3 linked regions of the Alligator mississippiensis genome follow. The protein of the gene in region 3 interacts with the protein of the main gene of each other region in a biochemical or structural test. Links are inferred from orthologs where the notes say so. Each region holds a gene or a part of one and is shown on either strand. Other genes may lie near its edges. The genes, in order: EGLN3, DLST and SIAH2.

Region 1 (7,976 bases), on a different chromosome or scaffold from region 3:
GTTTTCATTTGTGAAAACACTTGTTCACAGCTATAAGTAGATCCAAAGACAGACTGCTAGGCAAAAGCTACATTTCTCATGCAGGCATACTTTTCAGGAAAGGAAGACCAACATGCTGTAATCATGAGTTGACAGTCCCTTTCATTCTCAAGTTCACCTTGCAGCAATTTGAACTTCGATACCCAGATGCATGAGCTTTGAAAGTCAATCAGTTCCAATTCAAATCCTTCAGTGTTCATCCACTGAAAGTACTTCAGTTCTATATATATGTGACAGGGGGCCTCCTGGGGCCGAACTCTGTGGCCTGCCTGCCTGCCTGTCACCGTGACAGGAGGCCTACTCAGGGCCGAGCTCTTCGTGGCCCACCCACCTGTCTCTGGGCAACCGCCCGCTTATCTCTCCCGCCACGCCTTTGATGATAATTGATTCATATATCCATGTCAATTAAGCAGGAGGCTGCCCATTGTAGTGCCCCGATGCCGGGGCGCTCTGTGGCTCCGACCTCCCCTAATACTGCAGCCCAAGCCTCGCAGATGGCATCATGGTGTTACTATAATCACTGGCCCCATACTGGGCCCCAGAATCATCCTAACAGGACCCCTCTCTGATCCTCTCCTATCAGGCAGCCACTCCGCCGTCATCCATAGATTCATAGATTCATAGATGTTAGGGTCGGAAGGGACCTCAATAGATCATCAAGTCCGACCCCCTGCATAAGCAGGAAAGAGTGCTGGGTCTAGACGACCCCAGCTAGATACTCGTCTAACCTCCTCTTGAAGACCCCCAGGGTAGGGGAGAGCACCACCTCCCTTGGGAACCCGTTCCAGACCTTGGCCACTCGAACTGTGAAGAAGTTCTTCCTTATGTCCAGTCTAAATCTGCTCTCTACTAGCTTGTGGCCATTGTTTCTTGTAACCCCCGGGGGCGCCTTGGTGAATAAATCCTCACCAATTCCCTTCTGTGCCCCCGTGATGAACTTATAGGCAGCTACAAGGTCGCCTCTCAACCTTCTCTTGCGGAGGCTGAAAAGGTCCAGTTTCTCTAGTCTCTCCTCGTAGGGCTTGGTCTGCAGGCCCTTGACCATACGAGTTGCCCTTCGCTGTACCCTCTCCAGGTTATCCGCATCCTTCTTGAAGTGTGGCGCCCAGAATTGCACGCAGTACTCCAACTGCGGTCTGACCAACGCCCTATAGAGGGGAAGTATCACCTCCCTGGACCTATTTGTCATGCATCTGCTGATGCACGATAAAGTGCCATTGGCTTTTCTGATGGCTTCGTCACACTGCCGGCTCATGTTCATCTTGGAGTCCACTAGGACTCCAAGATCCCTTTCCACTTCCGTGCCACCCAGCAGGTCATTCCCTAGGCTGTAGGTGTGCTGGGCATTTTTCCTCCCTAGGTGCAGCACTTTGCATTTCTCCTTGTTGAACTGCATCCCGTTGTTTTCTGCCCACTTGTCCAACCTATCTAGGTCTGCCTGCAGCTGTTCCCTGCCCTCCGGCGTGTCCACTTCTCCCCATAGCTTTGTGTCATCTGCAAACTTGGACAGAGTACATTTCACTCCCACGTCCAAGTCGCTGATGAAGCCCATCCGGGCTACCTTGTCCCCCCTGAAGCCTTGTTCCCCTCTCGGGTGTGGTTCCCCCGGAACCTTTGGCTAGCTGACCCTGGCCCACCTCCAGGCCAGTCGGGATCCCAGGCCCCCAGCTCTTGGGCATCCCTCGCGGTGGGCCCCCGGCCCTTTGACTACCGTAGTCCTGGCCCCAGCTTGGGCCAGTCGAGGGTACTCTCCCCTTTGGGCTGGGTCTCTCTAGCCGCTCACTCTGTCACTGGGCCTCACCGTGCCACTACTCCGTCTTCTCGGGGGCAACCGCAGCACCACGCCCACATCACTCCCACTCTCGGGGTCCGCCCTCTCCGGGCCCCTCACAACACTGGCCCATCTGGGCCCTCCAACAAACACATGGGTAACCCACCCGGTGGTGGTGGGAGCTAGGGGTTAAGGCGCCCCGACCCGCCTTTCACCGGGGTAATAACTGGCCTGGCATTTCCTGGGGGCTCCCATGCCACTGAGAGCCCCACCAGGCCACCCACTCCTGGCAGGGTGCAGTTTCAGGTCATGCCCAGGACCAGGAGCCTCCTGCCAACCCCTTGCAGCTCCCCCCTTACCTCCAGGTCGTTCACAGCAGCCCTTCAGCCAGGCGATGTTGCTGCCTGCCTCCTGCAGCCAAACTGCCTTGTTTATATAAGCAGCCTAAGCCTCAAAATGGCTGCCCTAATTAGGCACCTGGAGGCTGCCGGCTCCAGGCCCTTAAAGTGGCAGAGACACCCTGTGCTCTGCCACATATATATATCACTTTCCCTTGTACTGTCTGGGTTCACAAGAAATGAAAACATGGGTCCTCTGTTGCAAGTCTTGGAATAGTCATGTGAACTCATCTTCCAGATGTCCTATGTAGCTGCATATATCCCTATCATTCAGTTGATGCTGCTCAGAATGGATTTTCAGACTGGGGAAGTAACGGAAGGCAGATGGTTCGATATCTCATCTGAAAACAGGCAACTTATTACAGAAAGCTTTCCAGTCTTCAGACAGCTGAAGGATGGTTTTCTGTGTTCCTTGTAACCTAGTATTCAAATCATTTAAATGTGATGTGATATCTGTCAAAAACATCAGTTTTGTTAGTCATCTGTCATCAGTAAGGTCTGCATATTGCTGACCACTTTCCTCAAGAATCAGCTTGAAGGATTTGAGACAGCAACAAATCACTTGAGCATGTTGCCTTGACTCAACCAGTGTATATTACTGTGCAGCACTAAATCTCCATATGCAGAATCCATATCATTTAAAAGTTCACACAAATCTCCTGTGTGTCAGAGAGCAGCAGGCAATCAAAAAGCTGACAATTTTCACAACTGTTGTCATGATTTCATTGAAATCGGAAGATGAGATCTTACTGCACAGGCTCTCCTGATGAATAATACAATGGAAACTCATAAGAGGACATCCAATCTCAGTTTCCAGAAGCTTTACAAATCCAGCTGTTTTACCCACCATAGCAGGTGCGCCATCAGTGATAACAGGGAACACTTTGTGCAGGTCAATTTGTTGCTGTGTGAAATATCTTTGACAGCATTAAGTATATCTTTGTTGAGTGCTATGCATAGCACTCAAAGAAAACAATTCCTCGTGAACTTCCCCAGAGATAAAATATTGAACAATTATAGCAAGACGTGGGGGGGATACCTGTTATGTCTGTGTTTTCATCCAGTGCAAGGCTCATCACATCACAAGCATGGAGGTCTCGAGTCATTTGTTCCCTAACGTTAGTTTCCATTTCATCTATTCGCCTTTGAACAGTCCTGGATGACGATGGAATTTCATCAATACGAGCAATCATGTCCATCTTATTCGCAAAAATCCTGAAATAGATCCTCAGCACATTTTAAGAAAGAATCCTTTAAGTATTCTCCATCTGTAAAACTCTTGCCTTGCTGAGCTATATTTAGAGCTGCAATGTAACTTGCCTGTGTGGAGAAAGTATTTCTAGTTGCACAACTAGAAAAGCTGGCTGTCTGCTTTTTAAACGAATCAACGCTTTTCTAACGGATTCATGTTCGTCTGCTTCATTGACTCCAGAAGATTTGGCTTTGTGCTTGGTTGCAAAATGGCGCAGGACACTGGAAGCATGAGATACCACACTTCCGCTGTACAGACTACAAATACAATCCCCTTGCTGCACAAAACCATACAATTCTCTCCAAGCCAGATGAAACTTTTGAATATCTAACTTTGGTTTGTGTGAACTTCAGGAAATTTTACAGTTGGAAGGCACATAGATACATAACCATGGAAGGCAAAAAAAAAACCCAACAAAGGCAGCACAAACATTGTAAACAGAAAGCAGGAAAATCAGAAAGAATTGAATAATTTGAACGGTGTGTAAATCTGGGTAAGTATTTCCAAGACGACAAGCAGAGTAGCAGAAAAGCACACAAAGAAGTGAGCAATATGAAGTGTTTAAATCTAGGAATGCAAAGTAGAGAGAGCAAAATAACTGAACAGGAACTGTTTCAATAAAGTAAAAAACCTGAAAAACATGAACTGGTTTAAGAGAACGACAAACTGAATAAGAAATTACTTAAAAGAGCAACATACGCTGAATAATATGAACTGTTCTGAGTGAGCAAAAGCTGAATATGAATCGATTTAACAGAGCAAAATAAACTGATTAATGTGGAAAGGGCAACAGCTGAACATGAACTGGTTAATATGGAGAGAGCAAAAGCTGAACAGGAATCGATTTAACAGAGCAAAGTAAACTGAAGGGTACAAACTAGTTAGAGAGAGAGCAAAAGCTGAATCTGAAATAATTTTACAAACCAAAATAAACTAAATAATACCCGACCTTCAAATCTTAGCAGGAATCGCCACCAAGGGGCGTAGCCCGGAGGCACGTGCTGGCCTCATGCAGCAGCGGCGGAGGAGCAGAGCCGAGCCGAGCCGAGCCGCGCCGGTCCCTGCCCCCCGGCCGCGAGCAGCACCGCGGGCACGGCCAGGCGCGCGGCTGCACGTGCCCTCTGGGCGGAGGCGACAGGGTTGTGATGCCCCCGCCATGCCATGCCCTGCCCTGCCCCGCGGCGCGCCTGCCGTTGCCTCCAGCACGGAGCTGATGCCGGGCCCTGGGCTGCTCGGCTCGCTGCGGGTGCCCAGAGCCCGGGCGGGCTGCGATCAGCCGCGCCGACCCCGGGGGGGGGGGGGGTACAGCCACCCCAACATCTGCTTCCAGTGGAGGGCCGGGCTCCGCCCTCCCCGCGCAGCCGAGCCCCGAGGCTGAGGAGCCGGGGAGCCCGGCCCACTGCGAGCCCGGCCCCCGGAAGGGGCTGGCGCCCACGCCTCTGCGGGTTCTAGTTCGCGGGGGCCCGCCCGGGAGCAGGTTAGTGCCGGGCGGGCGCAGCCGGGCAGATGGCGGGAGGGGCGGGCGCTGCGCCGCCTCAGGGCTCTTCCCCGCCGCCCGCTCCGTGCAGACTGCGGCAGCCCGGGCCACGCGCGCCTCGGGGAGGGCGGCCGGGGCGGGGGCGGGGCCGGAGGCGGCATCGGTCCGGCGGCTCCGCGGCCGCCCGCGTGCCGGGCAAGATGGCCTCGCGTGCCCTGCTGTGGCACGCGTGCCGGGGGCTGCCCATCCCCGACCTGGAGAAGATCGCCTTGGACTACATCGTGCCCTGCCTGCACGACATCGGCTTCTGCTACCTGGACAATTTCCTGGGCGAGGTGGTGGGGGACTGCGTGCTGGAGCGCGTGAAGCAGATGCACTACAGCGGGGAGCTGCAGGATGGGCAGCTGGCCGGCCAGAGACACGGCATCGCCAGGCGGCACTTGAGGGGAGACCAGATCAAGTGGATCGGAGGCACGGAGGAAGGGTGCGAGGCCATCAACTTCCTCCTGTCCCTGATAGACAGGCTGGTGATGTATTGTGGCACCAGGCTGGGCAACTACTATGTCAAGGAGAGGTCCAAGGTAAGAGACTTGCTGTGGTTGAATTTGGGGTCGTTTCCTAAGGGCTTCATGTCTGTACGGGTTCTACCACCGAGTTGCACGTTCCTGATATCCTAACACCTGGCACCTCTCAACTCCCCAAACTGCTCCCAGGACTTGGCATCAATTTACCTTTTACTCATCTGTTTAAAAGACATAGCAGGTGACAGTGCTTACTGCAGCAAAAAAGGCTTCATTTGCCTTTGAAGCATAGTTTATGTATCTGCTGCCAGATGCAGGAGTAGAGTATGTTATTGTTTATAAACAGTTCCTGGATCCTTCGCTTAACCCAGCAGCACAGAAGTCGGGGCAAATTGAGAAGCATGTTCCAAGTTAAGCTGTAGAGAGGAATGAATGGAGATTTTTTTTAAAGTTGTAAAGTAAAGGACACTCAACAGCTGTTACTGTTCTCTTCCTCCCCAATGTCGTGTCTTTTGGGCAGTGGTGTTTAGAAGATGATCGGAAGACAGGCTCCCAGGCTGCTCATATTGTTTATAAAGAAGTGATGAGGTTAATCCTAAACTTATGCATGTGTGTACCCACAGAGACCACTTCACAGCTGAGTAAATAAACAAATGTACATAGTAATTAATTAACTAATTCCTAGTGAGAAGTGACTTGAGCCTGGATGAAGGCAGACAAGGATCTTTGGGTAAATCTGATATATTTTATTAGACCAGCTCAAATAGTTGGAAAAATTCTTCTTTGTGCTTGGGGGTCATAAGCTGAATGAATACTTTCCCCAATTTGATCCAAAGGGGAAGCTGTATTCACTTACAAGTTTATGGTGGTCATTTAAGATAAAGTCGACTAATAATGTATTTCTTCTAATACTTCCACTGGAAGGGCTGGCAAAATGCAGGTAAATGCTGACGAACTAATCATAATAGACTAAAGTACTCTGGTATGAGCTGCTTGTTTATTTTAACCCTTTGTCCGCAGCTGGCTATCACAGGTGTTTTTTAGCAGTTTGGTAAAGGTGAGTAGAAAGAGGGAGTTACCAATGTCCACTTGTGCTTGTCCACTGTTAAAACATGTTTGGTTTTGTTTGCAACATTTCATTCATATGGTAGTATTAATCCAGTGAGCTTCAGTCTCCATCCTCATGTCAACTATTTCAGAACTAAAGAATATTGTAATAGCTGTTAGCCTTGCCGTTAGAAGTATGAAAAGAAAGATACTTTGCTCTTGTTTAAGGGCATGCCAGAATTTCTTTGTGAAGAATGTGTTAAAAAGTTGCTACTTGAAATTCATTTCCCAGTCAATTTATCTGACCTTTAGTTCAGTCAGTTGGAAAATGTTGCTTTTATCCTCTGCACCTGTATGGAAATGACATTACCCTCTGTTACTAATTGTTGAAAAATTCCCCATAGTTCTTATCCGATTTTCATGGTTGGCAAACAATCTGAATTATACGTTCTCTTCTAGGTTTCCATTTATGTTTCCTCTTTCTGTGATGTAACTGTTAGAGCACTGAAAGTTGCATGATTCTTAAAATACCAGGCAAGAGCTTTGGGGCAGTTGCACTTCAAATTTTATTCTAATCTCAGTGTTTTCCTCCAGGTTTTAGGAAAGGGGATAGAGGAGGGATGGAAAGACCTTGAACAGTTAGCAGGGTATGTAAAGAGAACTTTTATGAATCCTTATTAATTGTTTCTTTTGGCATTATCTTAAACTAACCGGGGCATGTGGGAGTGGGGAATGATGATGTTTCTCAGCAGTGAGGGAGAGGGAATGAAATATTAGCTGTGGTGGGACTTAGCTGTTTCTCAGGTTTTTGGGAATATCCTGAAAAGTTGGCAAATACTAGTCAAGAGACCAGCCCTGTTAGTCTCAAATCAAGTAGAAGTCAATAGTTGTTGAATCATTAACCCTATATTGAGCGAATCATTCCTTTAAGCTGAAGAGCTGGATGGATTTGGGACACAGTGCGTGAGCCATCTTGTAGTGTCAGTTATTGTACATATTCCCAAGTGCCTGCCTCGCTAGTATGGGTAGGTATGGTGGTACCTTGTTGGCCACTAGGAGGAAGAAAAAGGGGATTTGCACTAAAGCAAGAGACAGACACCCACAGGGGAGATTGTCATCACATTCACCTAACTGCATACAAGGAGAACACCTACATTAGATGTAGCTTGTTGCATTGATCTGGAACAGACTTCTGGGACTTACCTTGGGCTGTGGAAGGTTGGGGGGGGGTTAAACCAAACTGTGGTATTCCTACAGCCTTCAATGTTTGAGAGTTATACTTGTTGTTATAATAACACATGTTAACAATAATAGCTGACTCTAGATTTTTCTTCATCTAGTAAAATTATCACATTTTACAAGTGGCTATGGAAATATTGCTATGAACAGATTTCTGTAGCTGTGTAGTGGTAACTGAACACTTGTGTGTGGAAGGTGACAGACTTCAAAGTAGCAGTGCAAAGAAAAGCTA
Region 2 (7,695 bases), on a different chromosome or scaffold from region 3:
GCCTAGTGAAATCCAAAGGCCTCACTGTCATCCTCCTGCTGTCAACTACATGCCCCTTTTGAAGAGCATCTTGTCTGCAGACTTCTGAAGTCCTACCTGTGCAACCACTTCCTCAGTGGTTGCCTCTCCTAGTCCAAATCGCAAATGTCAGTCCTGTCCTCTTCTGCCCACACACTCACCACTGATGCTCTCCCATGATTCCTAGTTTGATGACTCACAACTCTCTTCCTCCAGGACAGAGTTCTTGAGTTTTAATTCTCTTCTTCATATATGTCATAGCATCATAGTATCATAGTATTTAGGGTTGGAAGGGACCTAAACAGATCATCAGGTCCAAACCCCTGCCCTGGGCAGGAACGGGTGCCAGGATCACATCACCCCAGCCAAATATCTGTCCAGCCTCCTCTTGAAGACCTCCAAGGTAGGACAGAGCACTACCTCACCTGGGAGTCCATTCCAGATCCTGGCAGCCCTAACTGTAAAGTAATGTCTCCTGATGTCCAGCCTGAACAATTTGCTCTAGCAATTTGTGGCTGTTATTCCTAGTAACCCCCAGTAGTGCCTGGGGGAACAGAGCCTCCCCCAGTTTCCACTGGTCCCCCCTGGTGAGTTTGTAAACAGCCACCAGATCCCCCCTCAGCCTTCTCCTGTGGAGGCTGAATAGGTTCAGGCCCTTTAGCCAATCTTCGTAGCGCCTGCCCCGCTACCTCTTGACCATGCGAGTGTCAAAACCCAAGCTTCCCCCTTTCTCCATTCCTGCTGACTTTGCTACCCTCCCAGCTGCCCAAAGCCACAACTCTGAAGTTCACATGCTTGACCTGTTTTCACATCCCGGTATTTCTTTCTCAACCACCTCCAGAAATATCCTCACTTATCATACTTCTTCCCCACTCTCAAAACTCATCATCCATGTTCCAATTCTCTTGTCTAGACCTCTATGACTAGGGTTACCATACATCCTGGATTGGTTGGGACAGTCCCAGATTTCATAGGTTGTCCTGGGTTGGAGAAAATTGAAGTGAAAGTCCTAGATTGGCAGGAACCTGCTTGCATGTGCCCAGCTCCTGATTGATTATTGATTGAGCAAAAGACTGCTCACAGCCCAGCAGAGTTCAGACTACGGAGCAGCTCACTGGCTGGGCTCTCTAGAGAAAACTGAAGCAAAACTCCCAGACTGGTGTGAACCCACCCGCATGTGCCCAGCTTCTGACCGACTCTACTTGGCAAAAGACTCATGGCTTGCAGCTCAATGGATTCAGGACTAGGGAGCAGCCTTCCAGGTGAAGGCGGGGGCTTCTGAGGGGTCCCTCTGCCCTCCCGGCTGCTGGGGACCCATGTTTGGGGGGCGGGGGGATGGCTCTGGGCTCTGTCCTGGGATTGCAGCCCCAGCCTGCTGGGAGGCATTGTGCAGCTGCGCAGCATGGGCTTATGGAGCCCAGGGGGTGCCCCCAGCTGGGTCCAGCCTCTGCAAGAAGGGGATAAAGGCCAAAGGTGGGCTTCCACACCATCCTGCCCAGCCCTGCTCCTGGGAGCCTTGAGGCTGAAGTGGGGGGGGGGGGGTTACACCCCCTATCCCAGACTTCCTTACCCTGTCCATAAAATTATCATGGTCACCCTATCTGTGACCACCTCTCCTTGAACTCCCTACCTGCCTGTCTCTTCCCATTCTGTTATATTCAACATGACAACCAAAATTATCTTCCTAGCCCAATGCATCTCCCTGCATGTAATCAACTGACTTACAGTCTCATTTTATGTACAGTAAAAATACTTTATGCTTGTTCTTCTGGTTTTCACTTCTCTACCTGGGGTCCTACCCACCACTCTGAAGGGTGCATACCAATAAAAAGATACTTAAGAAACTCTTTGATTTTAATATTTTTAAAATATAAGCCTGTCTGAAATTAATTTTGCAAGTTGTGACCACCCACATATTAAGGCCTACACTTATGTTTATCTATTAAAAGAATTTAAGTTGCTTAAAACATCTGAATAGCACATGGCGACTACTGAAGTTGCACCAAGAAACCAAGGACTGGGTGGAAATCACTGCTGAAGCAGGTGGAGGTGGAGTCTGTTAAATAAACCAGTTTGACAGCAAGAGCTGCTTCTGCAGGTGCAGAGAATGCTTTCGTTCCCAAGCAAAGTCAATTCAAGGACTAGCTCGTTTTGAATTGGAAAAAAAATGTTGGGAGATGAGCAGACAGTAAAACAGCCCCTTTGCCAAGCTGTGGGCACCAAGTAATTGACAGGTCAAGATCAACTAGCTCTAAAAATCTTGAGAAACAGGATGCTGCTGCTCCAGCAGCTGCCAGCGCAGCTGGCAGTGCAGCAGGGAGTGAGTCCAGTACAACGAGAACTAGCCTTTGCACTGCTCCAGGCCGGGAAAACTTTAAACACAACTTTTTTCTGGGCGGAGGTGCAGCAGGAGCTTCCCCTGCCCACCCGGCTCCGCTGCCTCCGGCCCCTTCTAGCTCCCGCCTGTTCTTCCAACCCGGTGCCGGGCCAGGCCGCACAAGCCGAGGCCGGTCCAACGCCCGAGCGCGCGCTGCGGCTCCTCGTGTCGCGCCAGTGCCCAGCGCAGCCGCGTTGTGCTGAACACGGACCCGGCGGACAACCCGACCCGCTGCCGGCTACCAACACAGGTGCGGCGAGGCCGCGACCAGGCCTCAGGACCCCGACCCGGCCCCGGCCGCCCGGGCGGCTCCTCCCGTCCTCAGGCCCAGTCCCAGTCCCGGCCCTCCTGCCCCCCGCTACGGGGAAGCGCTACGTGCCAGGGCGGCAGGAGCCCTTGCGAGGTGGGGCGGGGCGCTGTGTCCCTCCCGCCCACCCGAGGGTCTCTGGTGGCGGCACCGCCCCCACCCCAGTGCCCTTGACAGGACTATGCCGTGCCGTGCCGTGCCGTGCCGTGGCGTGGCTTGGCTCGGCTCGGCTCGTCCCGCCCGTACCTGCCGCAGGGCATTGAGCGCCCGGCTCAGACAGCGGGACCGGGACAGCAGCGGCAACATCGCGGCGGCGGCGGCGACGTGAAGGCGAACACCGGAAACAGGCCCCGGGCAGGCCGGAAACGGAGCGGACCGAACCAAGCACCCTTCAGCGCAGGGGGAGCCGGGAGGGTCGTACCAAACATGGGGGAGGGTGAGAAACCGAAACGTCCTGACGGGACAAAACCACCGGGAGGAGGAGAAAGAGGACTCAACCACCTTGAAGGGCGGCTGCGAGCCCCGGTGGGCCTGCTGAGGACTGGACCACTCTGAGCAGGACAGGGGGGCCTTGATGTTATCTGGCTTGCGCTCCCTCTCCCCCGCCAGGCGTCTTGGTACTGGCTGCCGGTCCCTGCCCCAGGCAACCTTCAGCCATGCAGGGCAGGGGCAGGTTGTGAATTAGCCCATGGGCACCTGACTTGAGGAGCTTGATGCTGCCCACGGGAGCTGGGGAGCCCAGGGTGAGCAGGGATGGGCCTGGCAGCAGTGGTGGCAGTGCAGACACCAGCAGAGGTGATGTGGAGATCTGGCAGCACAGGGCAGGAGGCTGCACTCCCTAGCCAGGCTGTGCCCTGGCTTCCCAGTGGACAGGAGGCCCCTGAGTCCTGGCTCCCAGATCTGGGGCTGTAGCCAGAGACTGGGGGTCCCACGCCCCTCCCTAGAGCACTAGTGCCTGGGTTCCCCCAGCAGGCTGCCTCCAGGGAGCTAGCAACGCTTGGCTCCCACCTGCCAACACTGCCCTAGGGCTAGCTCACCCCAGCGATGTTCCCGCCATGAGGCTGGAGTTCCAGCGTGGCTGTGACGGACACTGGGACGCCACCAGGCCACAGGGCAGGCCCTCCACACAGCTGCAGAGGGAAAAGAAATGTGCAGCAAGCTCCCACCTTTATGCAGAGGGAAGGGTGGGATTCTCTCACCTGACCATGGCTCTGGCTGAATGCTGTGCTCCTGTGCAGGCTACGCTGTGAGATGCCCTGTTGCTTTCAGTGTACATGATGTTGCATGAGTTGAGACAGAGCCTCTGTTCACATCATAAAGGGCTGTATTAGAATTAGGCATCTGCAGAAGGGAACAAGAGTTAGAACTGGGTGCTGCGTTATCTTGAGCATTTCCTACTTTTTTTAAGTGCTCAATGGTGTAATGGCACTACTAACTTAATGTCGTTTTGTAAAGAATTTCCTCGAGGAAGGAGTACAGGAAAGGGAGAAGAAAGCAAAAGGAGGAGGTGGAACCTTTGAAACCTGTTTGGTGTGTAAAAAAGAACTAAAAAGGAATAAAAACAAATGGAACTGATACAGCTTTTGGAGCAGTGCATCTCTAGTATGCTGCTCTCCTTGAGCACAACAAATAGAAACCAGCTGCCTTGAATCGAAGACTGCTGCCTAGTAGGAAGAATGCATATCATAGCAATTGTAAAGTACCTGGATACAAATGAATGAGATAAGAGTTTTACTGAGAGATTTAATTCAGTTGAGCTCAAATAAAACTGCATGAGCCATTGTATTTTGTCTGGCTCCTTGTTCAAACTGTTCAGCAGGTAGCAGGTAACAAATCCAACAGGCTTTTTTGAATGAGATATGTGAGAGACTTGGGTTACTCTTTGGAGTCTGTTCCTCTGGTCAGGCAGATTATTTCTCACAGTTTATATATTAGGGACTTGTCCAGTGCTGAGGGGAGAACACTTACCTATCAGCTATGCTGAACAGCTGGCTCTAATGCAGGGGTGGGCAAAATGCGGCCCACGGGCCAGATATGGCCTGCCAGGTCGTTCTATCCAGCCCGCAGGGCCCCTAAAAAATTTAGAAAATTAATATTTATCTGCCCCTGGCTGCCTGACATGCAGCCCTCGATGGCTTGCCAAAACTCAGTAAGTGTCCCTCCGCCCAAAATAATTGCCCGCCCCTACTCTAATGGCTAGAGTTTACATCTGAAAACATACAATACTAAGTATTATTATTTAGATGATGTTCCTTTTCTAGGTGTGTCATACAGTGTTGCCACCTCTCATGATTTTTGTCATTCTTAAAGTCTACGCTATGGGAATGTGAAAAACTTAGCTCCTTCTTTTATATTATATATATATATATATATATATATATATATATATATTGTGTGTGTGTGTGTGTATGTGTGTGTATATATATATATATATATATATATACACACACACACATATATAAAAGAAAGAGCTTTTATATATAAAAGAAAGCTAAGTTCTTCACATTCCCAAAGCATATACTTTAAGAACACTGGCAAAAATCATGAGAGTTAGCAATACTGCACATACACCTCAAAGATCTAGCTGCAGTGAAGAAAAGAAACCTTCATCATCAACACATTAGAAACCACTGGTAACCTATGCTGTGTTCCTTAAGGCGGCGGTTTTTAAACTGGGGGGCATGCTGTCTGGGGGCGGGGAGGGGGGGCGCAAAGGAATGTGGGGGGCACCATGTGCAAGGCATATTTTACTTTTAAAAATTATTATCATCATTATTAGTATTATATTTGACAACATCACACACTGAAATAGTATGAGTGAACTTTTTGCAACTGATTTCACAGGTGTTACAATGCATTTAATTAAACCAGTGATCATTTCCATAGCAACATTTCCCACCTTCCAGTTTAGTACACCTATCATATCTACTCTTACAAGACAAAAAAATCACAACAAGCATTTTGCAGTGCAACTTATTCTGCCGGTGAGTTCGATATTTTCATACTATTGAGGTGAAACTGGATCGGTACTTATTGCCAAAAGATACTGTTACGAAACGGAAGGCAGAAGCTGAAACGGCTAAAGTCGTTAAGTATAATATCTGTGAATATCAATTTCAATCTGTGAACTAGAAACCTACAGGTGTAGGTAATTTAATTAAGTAAGTTAAGTTGTGTTTGTTAAGTTTATGAAAGCATATTTTGCATGTCTGTTTTTGTCTGGGTTGGGGTGGAGGGGGGCTCAAACAAAATTGTGACTCTTATTAAACTGAGCCCCTCTGTTTGAAAACCACTGCTTTGGGGCTGTCTACAATGTCTGTATCCTTCAGCTTCCCCTTCCAGCACCATTTTTACTAGCTGCAAAGAGGCCCTACTTGCTTCTAGCACTGGTGGATCCATCATGGATGGTGGGACAGTACATTTCCAGACTAGGTTCAGATTCCAAGTCCTGAATAGAACAAAGTGCTACTGGGCCCTGCTTTACAGTAACTGCGGTCCTTTACCATTTGGCATTAACTCACTTCCCCTGCCCAGCTTCACAGTCTCCTACAAGTCAGTTCTGCCTTACGTCCTGCTGTTCCAATCCTCACCACCCCTAACACATCCCAGCCAACGCATCTCTCTCCTGATTGCTTCTCAACCTCTTGTGGGCTAAGATCAAGTGTAGTCGCTGCACTGGTTAGTTACCCAAACCAACATGGATTTAAATGGCATTGTGTAATGGAGGGTGCATGCCTGTTCAATGCACTGTGGACAGGATGCCCTACAAGAGTCTTGTAAATAGATTCCTGCTGGCCAGCTTCCAGTGGGAGGATCTTGGCTGCACACCTACTTTATGGAAATGGGGGACTCCTCTCTAGCTTGCTTCTGTGCTATTTGGTTAAGGACAAGTGGGACTCTGTGGCATCCAAACCCCAAGCTTCTGGGCTTGGGCCTGTACATAGGATGCCCATCAATGGATTTAGGAGTATCTGAAGCCCGAGGCTGAAAAGTCGGGGGTGGAGGATACTTGTCAGTTGTAGCACCACATATAGTGTTCAAATGATTGAGAGTTGCTCAGTCAAGAGGATTTGGAACTGATTTGGCTAATTTGACATGGAATATGAAAATTATTCCTCCCCCCAAAAACTTCTCTCCTGATGTGCAACAAGATAGAACCCAGAAGGTTATACGCAAAATTATTCTATCGGTACACACAACCCTGCGTGGTTAGCAGTGTTGCCATTTACAGACCCTCTGAGCTTGTTGAGTGGTCTGTGTATCTGAGCATCCCAGCAGCAGAATGGAAGGTGCCCTGATCCCTATTACTGAACCTGACCCTTCTCCATCTGCATATTCAGAAGTACCTTGAAGCTGGTTGGCTGCTACTGGCTTCCCCACCCCATTCTAGTAGGGACTGAGCTCAGATAGAGTCTTCAATGCCAGCGTGACTGCTTCAGTGCCCCTTCCCACTCAGCACTTTCTCTCCAAAAAACCCTGGGAACACAAGGTACTCTGCGGACAGCTGCATTCCTGCTGTAGCTAAGGTAAGTGCACCGTCTTTGTGGCTGGGTTTTTGGTTGTAGCCGGGTTGGTCTAAGGACATAGGCAGGCAAGGCTCTTTGGGTAGATGTGATATCTTTTATTAGACCAACTGAGTAGCTGAGGGGAAAAAGTTCTTTGCAAGCTTTCAGGCACAATTGCTATTCTTCAAGCAGAGGAAGTCTCTGCTGTTCTGAAACTCCAAGGAATGAAAGAAACATTCCCTGGAGTCTCAGAACAGCAGAGACTTCCTATGCCTGAAGAGGGGTGATTGCACCCAAAAGCTTGCAAAGAACTTTTCCCCATCTACTGAGTTGGTCTAATAAAAGATATCACATCTACCCAAAGAACCTTGCCGTCTCTGTGGGGCACCAGGCCTGCTCTGGCTGTTCACTGGAAACTGGGAAATCTAGAAGTCGGGGGGATCTCTTGATAGCAAGGTTTTGCAGAACCTGGTTTTTCTGAGGAGGAT
Region 3 (6,906 bases):
TTACAAAAATTCCGCAATAGTAACATCTGTTATACCTTTTGGATGGCTGAAAAATGCAACTGGTTGAAGTGTCACACACCTTGTTCTGCATCATTCCTTTCCTAGCTGATAAGATCCGGCTTAATGGCTAGCAGTCTTTTTTCCAAGTCACTCACAGGACCTCAGCCCTGAAAAATATTTTGTGCTCAAAAAGCAATTTTTTTTTTTTTATGCTATAAAATCTTAATGTTCTGCAGATACTCTGTCCAGACCCTGTCATCAGCGATTCCACCTTGGGTTCTACACCAAGCTGTGCACAGAGCTGAAATGTGACTTGGAGACGTATGGTTGACTTCCTGCTGATGCTGAAGGAAGGAATCCTATTTATGTACCTTGCTTCCCAGGTCCTTGCCTAAAAGAGCACCCAGGCCTTGGGGGTGAGGAGAACGAGGACAGAGTTGATACAGGAAATACGTTTTGTTTAGACTTGTTAGATTTTATTCCAAATTTAGGAAATGTCCTGTTTGTGGTGAACAAGCTTTAGAAAATGAGACGCAATTATAGGGGCATGCATGTACATGCACCCATGTGCATATTTATACACCGTAAAATGTCAAATCCTTGTTGGAACTACAGTGCCAAGTTATGTTAGAATAAAGCAATTAAAACAGATCCTTAAAACAAAGAACACTTTCAACTGTAATGCACGACAGGCAGATGTTACTGCTGGAGTTTTGTTGCTGGCTGTGGCAGTGTCATGTGACCTTACAACTTAAAGTACAAACATTGATATAGGTAGGGCATGAAAGCCACTATTCTGAAAATACAAAAAAGGCTGGAATTTCAAGGACAAGCCTCAGCCTGGAAAGTAACAGAACGAGCAAAAATGCTGCTAGCTGGAAAGCCTGGGACACGTGCACAAAGGCACAGATGGTGGAAATGAAGAGGGCAGTAGGGCCTCCTGTCACTTTTTCTGAGCCAGAAGGAAAATACGTTTTTCACTCAACTTTAGTCCAGCCTCTGGGGCAGGCTATCAAATCCTCCTCACAATGGCACAAAGTCTGTTGCTTTTGTTATGTGATCTCCTGTCCCAATCCTGAAAGTAGATACATAAGTGACATGTGTGCTAGTTCCCTGGGAATCTCACTTGACATGAAGCCCATGCTAGCACAGTAACTGTAGGACCTGGACTTGTCTGGAAAATCAAAGCTCTGATAGGTGTAGCTAGAATCTGTTGGATATGTCATGAATGCATATTTCACTAAAGAGATCTTTTAAATAGATCTTTACAATATGCTCTCTTACTGAAATAAAAAAAAAAAAAATCTCTTAAGAGTTTTATCTTTCCTTGAACTTAAGTTTAACCTTACTTTGTAAATATGCTTTGTGGTTTGCCATGGCAGGAGCAGGGATTAAACCTTTACTTTACAGGATACCATGAAATAAGGTCAGTTTAAGAAGCAAGTACCCCTCAAACTGCAGCTCTGTTACACTTCCTTTTTCAGTGCGTTTTTCTGGCCCCCTTTTTCCTGTGTGAAGAACCCACAGGAATTAGAAGGGGGGGGGAGTGAAACTGACTAGATGCACAGATGTAAGTAAACTAATCATGACACTTCTCTCTATATAATAATGTTAAATAGGCCAAAAGTGGTCAGTAAGAGTGCGATATTTTTAAAATCTTCACAACCTCTTTAGTGACCAAGCTAAAATACCAAGTTGGGTAAACCACAGCTCCTCCTTCACAGTTACTTAGAGAATGGAATTTGCCCTACAAAAACAAGGCCCAGCCCAAAAAACAATGCTGTAGAATAGGTCAGACCATGAAATGGGGCTCTACCCACTTATGCAATATCATTTTTAGAAATCCAGTGCTCGTGCAATGATTCAACAGTCAACTCCCTCTTAAATGCCTGAATTACAGAATTAGACATAATGTCAGCTTGTGACACAGCTGTGAAACAGGCTTAGGGCAAGACTGCTGTACTAAGCTGTGAACATGTCTGCAAAGAGGCAAAGCAGGGAGATCTTTTGAGACCTGCTCAAGGAGATGCACGTTCCTGCTTCTTCGGCCTGTTTCTTTTCCTGCTCCCTACCCCTTCTCCCCGGGGAGGAACTGTGCTCCCCGCAACAGGCCGCACTCTGCTGCCCAGGTGGGAGGGGGGAAGCACCCCACTGTGTTGTCCTTGGGACCCACTCGCTCCAGGAGAAATGAGGAGCTTCTTGGCTTCCGCGGACCGAGGGGGGCTGGTATTTGCACAGAAGCCACACACGCGCCTGGCCAAGGTCCAGGAGCCCCCGGTGACCCGGCTGGGACGGGGTGGAGGATGTTTCCGCTCACTACAGCCTGGAAAGGGGAAGTGAAACTCCTTGCTCGCGCCTCGGCAAGTCTGCAACCACGGCGAGGCCGGGCGGGGCGGGCAGGGCAGGGCAGGGCAAGGAGCCGGGGCCCCTTGGGGCGCGGTGCTGCAGCGGGAGGCGCGGGCCGGGCGCTCTTACCTTGCAAGGGAAGAGAACCGCCGAGGCCACTTTCTCCATGGCCAGGTTCCTGATGCTCGGGGTCAGGGACCCCCTGCACGTGGGGCAGCAGCTCAGTTTCTGTCGGCATTGGTTGCACACCAGGTGCCCCGCCTGGCACTGCAGGATGGGGGGCAGCACATAGTCGAAGCACACGGGGCACTCGAACAGCGAAGTCAGCTCGTGGTGCTGAGGCGACACCGGCCCCCCGCCGCCGCCGCCGCCTCCGGGCCCTGCAATCACCGCGGCCGCGGCGGGCACCGCAGACGAGCCGGGGCCGGCGGCCGAGATGGTGGCGGCGGCGGCGGGGGCAGCAGCCGGGGACGGCGCGTGCTGCTGCTGCTTGCCGCAGGCTTTGCTAGCGCTGGGTCCGGCGGAGGACGGGCGGCTCATCGCGGTCCGAGCAAACCATGGACGTGCGGGCAGCGGGCGCGCCACGCAGCGCCACCCCGGGTCGGGGGTCGGGCCCCGGGCGGCGCTCGGCCTCCCGCAGCACCGGCCCGGCGCGGGAGAGACGAGGGGGCCGCCGCGTCAGCGCCGCCTCCCCCGCGCCCGCGGCTCCCGCCGGCTACTGAGCATGCCCCGGCCAGGCCGCGCCGCGCGGGGAGCGGGGAGCGGGGGCGGCGCCGCGGGCGGGCGGCCGGGGCGGGGCGGGGCGGGCACTGACGTGCGCGGGGACCTCCCTGGCGCCGCCCCGGACCAACGTGGCCGGCGGGAGGCGGCGCCGGGCGTGCGGGCAGCAGTGCCTGGCCCCGGGTGCCTGGAGCCCTGCGCAGCCGCGCACCTCATCCGGGCGTCCGCCTCCCGCCCGCCCGCTCCACGGCCCGCCTCCCGCCCATTCAGGCCGGATGGGGCATCCAGCCAGGGCCCCGGCACGGACGCAGGATTTGCCCTCTTCCTTTGGCCCTGCCCGGCTCCCTCCCCCGTCCCGGGAGGCAGTGAGTGGAGATTGTTGACTTTATCTGATGCGTTTGTAGAGTTCGGGTGAAAGCACGAGAAAGTCAGTATTCTCTGGCTAGTTTGATTTTTTTTTTGGTCTAAACGTAAGGAGGAAGCTGGACTGCGCCTCGTTCTTCCCGATCGCCGTCGCTGTCAATTGTCTCTCCTTTCAAGGATGATCTCTACCGTGGCTCATTGATGGGTCTTGAGGTGACTTCAGTCCAGTCCTCGAGCCACAGATCGGTCCACAGAAGTTGCGGGTCTTTCTGCAGGGGAAGTAGGATGCCGGCTGGGATTTTGATCCTTTTCCTTCTTTCGGACTCTGTCCGACCAGCAAGCACACACGAACCATGGACACTAATATCACCCAGTCTGCATTTAAAGAAAACTGTAATGATATTGGTCAGCATTTGGTTTATACCGGGGTGCCAAACATAAGGCCCCAACGCTGGATTCAGCTTATGAGCCAATGAGCTCTGTTGCTGAACCAGCCCCATGTGCTCTGTGCTGCATAATATTCTTTCAAAGGAAGCCTTGTCTTTCATGACAGTGGGCCAAAAGGACCCTGTAGTGACTTCTGAGTGTGCTCAGACCTATAAACTACTATTTTCCTACAACTTCTGGTGAAGACCTACAAGCACTTAATAGCAGCGCTTAGAAAGATTAAATGCTCCTGATTTATTTTCAGAAATGGACTTTTGCTGATATTTCTAGATTGTGTCATGATTGCTATGTTCATCAGTTAAAGCCCTGATCTCATTATTTCAGCAGCTGCAAACACATGCTTACCGCTGTCTAATTTGACCAATGCAGCTACACTAATTTCAGGCCAGTCGTTGATGAAGTACAGCTTAGAGCAGTGGCTCTCAATCTTTTCAGGATCAGGGCTCCCCCTCCACCACTTCTATGAATTGGCAGCATCTCCTATTGAGAACTGTTGGTGCTTCCTCACTTCACTTCAGTGTTTCTTGACTTGACTGGGTATTGCTGCCTGTGATAAAACTGTCAGGCACCTGCTTATCAGCCAGCCCAGGAAGAGCTGTGGCATGTATACATATTCCTCATGCAGTAGGACTTTTGATCAGCCTAAAGCAGGCAGGAGCCACCTCATGCTGTGTAGCCCTTCCTGGTTCACCTGCCCCTTCCCCTGCTCCTGCCAGAAACGGGTACTTTAGTGGAACTGTCCTGTAAACCCCTGTCTCTTGGGGGAGTGTAGGAGGGGCCTGCCCAGGAAAGGCTAAGATGAGCTAGCTCCTGCCTACTTTAGGCTGATCAGAAAGCAGCAGGAGTGTGCACCAGGGTAGTCTTACCTGGCTGCAGCCACAGTGCAACACCCTGGATGAGAACCACTGGGTTAGAGAAAGAAGAGCCACCTTAAAATCTTCCCATTCTGCAGGCTTGTTGGTTGTGTAGTACATCAGCTGAGAACCAACAGGGCTTGTGCTCAATAGCTGTTGTTTCTGGCAGGTTGGGAAAAAAGTATTCAGTGCAGTATAGCAGAATGCAAATGGCTTCATAATGTCAGCTGTTATGAGCATTCAGAAGGGATGGAACATTCGAGGCCATTGGTAAAGGACATTGGCAGTGTGCATTGTTGTCGTTTTTATCTGTGTCTTTGGAGGCTTAAGTTGAACAGTTTGTAGGAACAAACTATTCAACAGCAGTGCGCAGCGGTAGATATTGCAAAAACTACCAGTATGTGTGAATGAAGAAGAATATGTTGGTTGAGGGAGCAACCCAGAGCAAGTAAGTATAGTTGTGTTGTAATCGTGGGCAAAGATAAACTTTGGGTCTAAACCCATGAGTTTGATACCCTTGCAGGACATGGGCCTGCATCTCCATATTGTTTCAAAGTTAGTTTCATAACATCTATATACAGGAAACCCTCGCTATTCGCGAACTTCACTATTCAAATATTCACGGGGGAGGGCAGAGCTGGGAGGCGGGCAGAGAACAAGCGCCAAGGGTTTGGAAGGAGGAGGTAGTGGTGGTGGTGGTAGCAGTGGCATGTTCTCTCCTGGAGTCAGCCGTGATGGCACTTGGGCGGAGAAGGGGTCGGTCTCCAGGTGCTGTGGGGGAGCCCCGGGGACAGGGAGGGAGGTGGCGATGGTGGCATCTTTTCTGCCACTGCTGCTGTGCAGAGCAGCCACGGCAGTGCTCGGGGGGAAGGGGTTGGTCCCCAGGCACTGCGGGGGAGCCCCGTGAACAATGTGGGGGGGAGCAGGGGGTGGCTGTGGGGTCCGACAGGGAGCCTCGTCAGTATTCATGGATTTCGCCATTTGCGGGGATCTCCAGAACATATCCCCAGCGAATGGCCAAGGTCTCCTGTAGAGTTGGCGATAAAAATTGCTGGGGTTGGTGGCTTGGGTTGGTTTCCCCCCCTTTCCTGTAGGGTTTGCACCACATGTGAAAACTGTGGTGGTGTGTTAGTGTATGAGACTGAGCAAGTGGAATTGATTAGGCTGCTTTCATTGTCCAAGCTAAGTGAAGTTTGAAAATCAAATTTAATGTGGTTGAAGGCTTTTCTGTCTTAACAGCATTACACAGGTGGAGAACCTTTGCTTTTGGAAGAAAAATCTCACAGCTTTTCTTTCAATGTTAACGAAATGCAGCAAAAAAGTAGGAAGATATTTCCTTGTAGTGGGGAAAGTGCCCTACTTGAGTATGCTTATTTATGTCAATTCGATGTTCATCAGGCATTGATGTCCTCATAGCCTTCCACATGCAGAGGTTAAAGATTGAATCATTTCGATTAAGGGTTGTGGAAAACCCCATGTCCAGCGTGACCCATCAGAACTACCAGTTAGTCATGAAGTATAACTGGAAAATTACCTTGCCAGCACAATGAAGGTGTTTTACTTAGACTAGTTTTCCATCAGTTGCTGCAACTAGACTCTAGAGGCTGTCTGTACTTGCTTCTGTATCAGATACATGCTGTTCAGTCTTTTCTCAGCACTTCAGTGCAATGATATAATTAGCAAGGTTCCTCTGGTATGTGCAGTTGCATGACTCATCCTTGATTCTAAGCACTAGCAAGATTCTTAATTAAGTTTCTATCTGGGCAGAACTTTCATTTAAGGGAAAGTGACAGTAATTTCAAGTGTTGGGAGTTCATTATTTTTCTGTCACATTTGCAGAGTCCTTTTGTGCCCTGTGAAGTCATGCAAAGTATTTATGGGTTAAAGGGAAAAACAGGAGGAAAAAATCATGAGTCATGCATTTCTAATGAAAATGTAGAATTTTACAACTATTTTTTAGCATATCAGTAACTAATTAAATCATGTACAGTTAATCATACCTAGTGATAAAAGCTTGTATTTTATACCACGTTTTGTAGCAATGTCCTAGGGTAAGGTCCATAAGAGGATTTTTTTTTAAGTTAATAGGTAGACAGAACCCAGAATATTAGTTGTGTACCTGACTGTGTCAATAAGAATCTTTTCCCTAAAGAGCCCTGTTCAATTTGAATGCACT

What was found.
Region 1: the proteins of SIAH2 (region 3) and EGLN3 form a complex in vitro, tested with the Homo sapiens proteins (2 studies listed by BioGRID). The link is inferred for Alligator mississippiensis from reciprocal best matches to the Homo sapiens genes SIAH2 and EGLN3.
Region 2: the proteins of SIAH2 (region 3) and DLST form a complex in vitro, tested with the Homo sapiens proteins (2 studies listed by BioGRID, with this or other methods). The link is inferred for Alligator mississippiensis from reciprocal best matches to the Homo sapiens genes SIAH2 and DLST.

The regions. Positions count from the first base shown.
Region 1 is NC_081825.1:255,771,398-255,779,373, reverse strand, and holds the start of EGLN3 (prolyl hydroxylase EGLN3), read left to right. Parts: upstream 1-4,921; 5' UTR 4,922-4,966; coding exon 4,967-5,518; intron 5,519-7,976. UniProt on the Homo sapiens protein: Prolyl hydroxylase that mediates hydroxylation of proline residues in target proteins, such as PKM, TELO2, ATF4 and HIF1A. Target proteins are preferentially recognized via a LXXLAP motif.
Region 2 is NC_081825.1:261,152,206-261,159,900, reverse strand, and holds the start of DLST (dihydrolipoyllysine-residue succinyltransferase component of 2-oxoglutarate dehydrogenase complex, mitochondrial), read right to left. Parts: upstream 3,032-7,695; 5' UTR 3,009-3,031; coding exon 2,949-3,008; intron 1-2,948. UniProt on the Homo sapiens protein: Dihydrolipoamide succinyltransferase (E2) component of the 2-oxoglutarate dehydrogenase complex. The 2-oxoglutarate dehydrogenase complex catalyzes the overall conversion of 2-oxoglutarate to succinyl-CoA and CO(2).
Region 3 is NC_081830.1:62,023,477-62,030,382, forward strand, and holds the start of SIAH2 (E3 ubiquitin-protein ligase SIAH2), read right to left. Parts: upstream 3,086-6,906; 5' UTR 2,887-3,085; coding exon 2,476-2,886; intron 1-2,475. UniProt on the Homo sapiens protein: E3 ubiquitin-protein ligase that mediates ubiquitination and subsequent proteasomal degradation of target proteins.